Saccharomyces cerevisiae S288C: one gene and its partner. The gene in region 1 interacts genetically with each later gene. Each region holds a gene or a part of one and is shown on either strand. Other genes may lie near its edges.

What was found.
Region 2: of MLC1 (region 1) and MRS6, extra expression of one rescues a mutant of the other (dosage rescue), as found in Saccharomyces cerevisiae (one study listed by BioGRID).

What each region holds. Positions count from the first base shown.
Region 1 is NC_001139.9:304,642-307,509, reverse strand, and holds MLC1 (Mlc1p), read right to left. Parts: upstream 951-2,868; coding exon 501-950; downstream 1-500. Other genes in the region: ARC1 (Arc1p), read right to left, coding at 1-73; RMD9 (Rmd9p), read left to right, coding at 1,237-2,868. UniProt on the Saccharomyces cerevisiae protein: Essential light chain for the class II conventional myosin MYO1. Also acts as light chain for the class V unconventional myosin MYO2 and for IQG1.
Region 2 is NC_001147.6:1,028,348-1,032,828, forward strand, and holds MRS6 (GTPase-activating protein MRS6), read right to left. Parts: upstream 2,648-4,481; coding exon 836-2,647; downstream 1-835. Other genes in the region: 40S ribosomal protein eS12 RPS12, read right to left, coding at 1-278; GPB1 (Gpb1p), read right to left, coding at 3,142-4,481. UniProt on the Saccharomyces cerevisiae protein: Substrate-binding subunit (component A) of the Rab geranylgeranyltransferase (GGTase) complex. Binds unprenylated Rab proteins and presents the substrate peptide to the catalytic component B.

The DNA of each region.
Region 1 (2,868 bases):
ATTGTTCTTTAGTGAAAGAAACTGGATACTTTGAAATAATAAGCGATTCGAACTTGGTAACGAGATCGGACATTGACTCTTGAAACTCTATATTATACTTTCTTATTCAATTGGGCCCTGAAGTAAAATACGTCGCACGCTGTGTTAGGTTATCCATATGACTGAAAAATTTTCTTATCTCTTGCAAAATCGCCAAGCGGTTAGAATCCCTCAGAAACTGAAGAAAAACGCTTAATCGTTAATAATGACTATCACATACCATTATCATTTATTTGTTCATATATATGTTCATATATATGTACATATATATATATATATATATATATATATGACTATTTATTGCTATGCATTATAAAGAAAGACTTGGCTCTCTGAATTACCAGTATGAAAAATGAAAAACCGCTGGCAAGTTTTCATTGCATAATGGCGCTTTTTTCGTTTTTATGTCGATAGGACTCTGTTATATAGTAATAAATGTCTAAATTTGCAGTTCCGCACTCTCATTGTCTCAAAACATCTTCGATGAACTTCTTGTAGTCAATTTCTCCGTTGCTGTCCACTTCAACACCCTTCAACAGCTCGTCTACTTCAGCGTCGGTTAACTTTTCACCCAAGCCAGTTAGCATGTACCTTAAGTCACCAACGGATACCTTGCCTGTACTTTCCTTGTCGAAGACCTGGAATGCCTTGACGAAGTCTTCTGTCTTTGCCTTGGTAGTTGCATCCAATTCCTTTTCGTTGACTTCAATTAGGCCTGTAATCTGGTCCAGCGTCAAGCTAGAGGCGTCTCTCAAGCTCGAATCCGCGTTTATGATGTCCTGTACGAGCTGGTTGGTGGGGTTGTAGCCAATTGCCCTCAGGTAATCTCCCAAGGAATCCTTGGCAATGGCGCCTTGACCCTTCTTGTCGAATAGTGTGAAAATATCTTTATTGGCTCTGGTGGCTGACATTGTTATTCTATGTATGTGCGATGGGTGGTGGCGGAATACGCTGGGGAAGGAACTCTTATACGTCGATCTACTCTGAGTATTATTTTGTTTCAAATCTTACTTCAAAATGCTTTTGTTACTACTCGTGTGTAATGATATATGGTTGAGGTTCCTGACTGAACAAGATTCGAAAAAATGTATTCAGTATGGCATTGTAATGAGGGTCTAAGCAATAAGTAAAAGAAGGTGAGGTTTCAGTGTCATTTTCTTACACTATTCGGAGAGTCCATATACTGCAAAAGGGACAATGATGCTTAGAAGAAATGCGGTGAGATCGTTAAAAACTATGGAAATAAGCGTAAGCAACGTTGTTAACTCCGGTTCGATAGCAATGCTGAGAGGTAAGCTTGCCAACGTAGTTCTTAGCGACCGTACTTACCACTCCAGTCCGATATTTCATAAAAATGTACCTAAGGGCGTTTTGGACAAGAAGAATGGGCGAGAACAGCGCAAAACAGAACAGAATGTGTTTAATGTGGATCCAGCTTCTCCATGGCGCCACGAGCTTCTTTCGTTTGATGAGTGTGTATCATCTGCTTTAAAGTACTCTACCACGCCTTTGCAAAATACATACAAAAGAATAGGAAACAACCAATTGAATAAAAATCCATCATTCGCCATGTTTTGGGACTCCATGGGCAGAGCAATGGAGTTATACTATTCTTTGAGAGAATCGCCTGATTTCAATGCGTACCGGGTGTCACGTTTGATTCATCTGCTGCATAACGGTCTGAGGTCGACGAGAGACCAATTGGTAAAATTAAGTAGAAAGCCAGACTACGATTCGCAATCTTTTCACAAGGAAATGATGAACTTTCTATGTAATTCATTAAAGGATATATCTGATGACATTTTGATAGGCAAGGTGTCTGTCAGCGGATATGGAGCTACTCATCTATTGACTTCATTTAAAGAGCTGTCATTTGACGATGACTGTATTCGAATTTGGGAAGCGTCAAAGAATTTGTCCGACGAGACTACTTCACAGGCATTCCAAGAACCAAAAGTGGTTGGTTTTATGCTGCCATTACTTTATGCAAAAACGCGTTCTCTGACTGAGCCTAACGAGCTATATAACCAAATTATTCAATCCAAAGAATTTATCCATCCCAATCTTTACAGCGGACTGATAAAAGTCTTCATCAAGGCGGAAGACTACGAAAAGGCATTATCCCTCTTCGGCCAATTATGTGAAAAGGCTGAAGTGAGGAATTACGGTTATTTAATTGAAACGCACTTAAGCTTCATTGGTGATTCCAAGAATTTAACGTTGGCAGAAAGTTTCTTTGACAAAATTATCAACGATGAAATGCCATACAAGATTATTTTACAAGTCTCTACAGTGAACTCTTTTTTGCAGAATATATGGAAAGCACAGAACGATTTTGATCATGTTTATAGAATATGGGAAAAGGCTGTAAAATTTTATGGTAACACTGTTAATCCTGGAATTTTGTCCTCACTAAACAACACTTTTTTCACAATATTCTTCGAAAACTATATTAATGACAATATCAATGGTTTCCGTAAGCTTCAAGAAATCATAACGTTTTACAGTGGGGTCAAAAAAATTGATGAACCATTTTTTAACGTTATGTTAACTAGAGCATCTATCTGGCACGAACGCAGCATAATCGATTTTATCGATAAAAACTATACTTTGTACCATATTCCAAGAACTATTATATCATATAGAATACTACTGAAATCATTGGGAAGCATAGACAACACGAATAATGAAGAGATTCTGGATAGATGGCTGGAGTTGGTCAAGAAACTGAATGAATTGGGCCAACAATATATAGCCAATGCTGATCTGTCCGCTTTGAGGGATGCCACTGTCGTATGGTCACAATCAAAGAGGGATGAAAAGGTCTTT
Region 2 (4,481 bases), on another chromosome or scaffold:
TCAGCAACCTTGATCAATGGAACCTTGTTTTCTGGGTCGTTAGCCAAACCTTCAACCAACTTGATAATGTTAGCTTCAGTAACAGAGCTGACCAAAACAACCAATAAAGCTTCACCTCTGGTTAAAGCCTTGGTAGATTCTCTCAAACCTCTAGCTAGACCATCGTGAACCAAAGCGGTTCTCAAAACAACCTTCAAAGCATCTTCGATAGTAACTTCGGCAGTTTGTTCAACAACAGTTTCTTCTTGAACTTCAACGACTTCTTCAACGTCAGACATTTTTCTTCTCAATAATATATAGTCTAGTTTTTGACTTCTTCGACAGTAAGATAATTAAACTGCTCCGTGAAGAGTTTTGAATTGGGAAAAACAATTGAACAAGGAACACTTATAGACCTGTTGTGATAAGAGATGACATAACTTTTATAATATGTCCTGCGGAGAATTCGATGAAATTTTGCAAATTGTAAGTTTGCTTGAAAGTTTGCTTGCGGGTAAGGTATTCTGAAAAAAATAAAATGATTCCACAATGGAAATGTGAAGATGTTGTAAACAAATCAAATGTACGGATGCACAATGGTAAACAGTACTGGATTTCTTTTTATATCACCGTTGAGCCGAAACAAACCCCGAAATAACCATTTAATATGCCAAGATGTACAAACCTCGTCTTTGCTTATTCAACTGCTACATTCGCAATACCTCAATAACGAGGTGCGTATATACATGAAGCAGAATTTTTTTTTACATATATATACTATTCATTAACTTGTAAGAAGACATTAATCACCGTTTCCTGAAGGGAAAAAAATACTAAATAGAATATGTCTTGCTCGTCATATCTCCATTTCACCTACAAATTCACCGGAACCTTCCATATTGACATCGTCGTCATCGTCTATGGCATTTTCAAATTGTTCCGCATTAGCAACGCCGCTAGCCTGTATTTCATCCTCATCTTCAAAATCTAAATCGAAGAAGTCATCATCACTGCCAACTATCTTTTCGTATAAAACTTTGGCTGCGGTGACTACTTCATCATACGATATCTCAGCAGAAGGCATGGTTGTATATATGACGCCATTATCACTCGCACCGGGAATATACTTTTTTTCCAAATCTTGATTTACATCAAAGAAGGAGGAGTTAACTACACCAAAGGGTGGCGTGGATGTGTATTGGGTATAATAAAGTTTAAATAAGAACTGTAATCTTTCCCTAGGAACATACTCCTTAAAAGATTGGCCTAACTTAACTGAATTTACTATTGTATGACCATTTCCCGTTAGTTGAACAATTTCTTCGTCGTTCTCTAAACCTGAAGACGATTCCCTTAGCAGGGCCATTTCCATAGCTTCTAGAGCGGCATCAATGTCCATTTCAGCACGTGGGCCTTGTTCTGTGGTCGATAAATACCATACAATAGTTCCTTCTGGACAAATTTCGCTGCCAGCACCGAGAATAAAGGCTTGTACTACTTCCTTATTACCAGATTTCAAAGAGCCAGGAGGGAAGACTACCATGGCGGCCGATTCACCCTCATTGAACCATTCAGTACAGGGGTTTTCAACTATACAGGTCAAACGATGAACCTGGTACTGTTGTTGAGGGACATGCTTACTGTCTTTAGGTGCTTGCGTAGGCGATATTATCACTTTCTCTGAAACTTCAACTTTGGATCCATCTTGGAATGTGGCCACTTTAGTTGTAGGGTTGAAGGATACCAATTTCTCATTGAGTTTGTAAGTAGCGCCACCTACAGCGGCAGATCTACAAAACCCTTGCGACAATTCTCCTGGCCCACCATACTTGGAGCATAGTGCAGGGAATGGTCCATAAACATCGAAACTAGTTAGATATCGACGAATCCTTTGTAAAGCTTCTGGTACTTTTACGTTGAGATCATAACATAACCCAATTGAGAAGATTAATTCGAAGACTTGTGGTTTTTCTAATTTAAACTTTTCCCCTAAAAAATCAGACATGGTCCTCTCCGCGTAGGGTTGCCATATTTCCGTTTGTGCTTCCCAGTTGAGTACGAATTTGATAAATTTCATTAAGTTCCTCTTTGTCATTAGTGGTAGGTTTTGATCCGTGAATATTTCTTGCTTTGTATTTGTTAGTTTTTCGAAACAATCATTTTCATAAGTATGGAAATTAGATAAAGATTGGAATTCTAAATACTGGTGAACTCTTGATTTGATTAAGATGGATAATAAATCAGATTTTGCAAATAGGATCTTCGGGGAAAGATCAATACCGAAATCTCTTGAAGAATATTTACCACTACCGATTAGCGTGGATACATACAACTTCGCATTTTTATAGCAACTTACTGAGCCTTCATTAACTTCATTTACCCATCTTTTGATTTGGTCTACAGTTAGTGTGGCTGAAGTGTCACCGTAATAATCATTCTTATCAATATGAAGGACATTGGAACCTTGCCAAGCTAATGCAGCAGCCAATACACTCTCTACCATACCAGTCCCTGCGATTAAAACATCAACTTTATCTGGTGTAGTGGCTGGCAAAGGGTCTTCAATACCGGCTAAATGCGGGACAACTAGAGGACTTGGATTTTGAGTAAAACTGAAAAATGATGGGCGGCGTTCTGCCATGGATGGTCTACGTTCAGGACTTAACATAACTTTTTTTCGGTCAATATTAGTCTTCCTTTTTTTATTTGTATTATAGAAACTGAAATGTTGCTGTTAAACCCTTAAAAAAACAGTAATAAATTAAACTTAAATGTTTATATCCGAAGGCAGTATCCTAGTGTCTTTTAGTTTATTATCGCAATGTGATAGTTTATCTTTCAATAATGATGGAACGGAATAAAAATTTTTCTTGTACTGATTGAATTTAGTTGCGAATTAACCGTACGCACAATCAGTGTATATTACTTCTGTAAAATCAAATGTGCAACAACTTTTGAATATATTTAATGACGGGAAAAGAACACGGGAAACGCTACTATTGTTGTATAGTGCGATATAGAACCTTTTTTTATCTTCTTCACTTGTTCTGTTTTCTTTTTTTTTTTTTTTTTTTTTTTCAAGTTCCACGAAAAAATTTTCTCGTTTTCCTTTAGTCACTCTTGTCACATAAGGATTATCCGAACCCCGCCCCGCGGAATTAATTAGTTGGCTAGATTCATGCTTGGTAGAATGAATTGTAAGACAGCTCCTCTCAAGTAAAGGCTCGAAATGTCTTCGCGACCGGCTACTACACCTCCTATTAAGGTCATGGTTCCTTTGACCAGTTCTATAGTACCTGCGACGGCCAATACTTGGTGGGGTGTGCCGACATGAGGATCCATAATGACAGATTCTTTAGTATCTCCATCATTTCGTATTAGCTTGCAACCTTGAAGGCATTGTGTATTTAAATCCACGACATTTATAACGCCACTTCCGAGTGGAACACCCGATATTACTTCTTCAGGAAGAGTTTCGTCCCGGTATATTCGGTCAACATCACCTTGTCGTAGACCCCCGATAAGCACAACCTTGTGGCCTACAGTTGTCATTGAGTGTCCTACCATACATAAGTTGATAGGTACCAAACCATCAGATTCCTCTTGTGTTTTGGCATAAAGGTCTATTTTAGTCCAGGTTTCGGAATCGAAGTCAAACCACCACATATCGCTGCAAACGTCATAGCCATCTGAACCTCCGTGGAACGCAATAGTTCTTCCGATTGATGCACATTTTTTTGATGGATTCAATGGTGGTGTATGTTTAGGGCTTGTGGGAGGACTGGATGTGGTATTCCTGGTAGACTTTGAAGAAGTGTCTTCACTAGTACTATTATTAGAATTGGAAATATGCATACTATCGCGACCACTCTTCTTCTCCTTCCTTGAATGTGGGATATTCGGAAAAAGTGGTTGAGAAGGCTTATTTCCTGGGCGTATTTCCAAATCGATGGAGAAGTCATTTTTCAAGTTCCTCAGTAATCTCGTTTCTATGGGTTCAACATCCTTGGTAAAATAATCTGGTACACAGCACGCTGAAAAGGCTCTTCTGCTCGGCCATAATTCTGGATCATCAATAATAGGGATCTTAGTAGCAGTTACAGTATCTGCAAATTTATAATAATTACGTTTCCCACGAGAAACTACAGGGATATTTATCTTCCACATGTCATTCATAGCTTCATACTTGTCGTCACCAGTCTGACTATACCCTCCAAAGATCAGAATGGTATTAACAGATGAGCAAATGTGTGTTGCTGTGCTACAATGTTTGGAAGAGAGACTATCTGTAGACCTTGGGTTTGTTACAGGTGGAATTGCATCATCCTCTAAATAGTCCGTACTTCCTGGTGAACCAACCAAATCATCTATTTTGTGATCCCCATTACCTTGGCGATATGGGCTTATCGACCTTCTTCCTTTCGCACTTGTTGTGGTATTTTCATTGGATACATTGTTGTTGGAATTACTTATTGATGCCTGCATGTGACCAAATCTTGGCG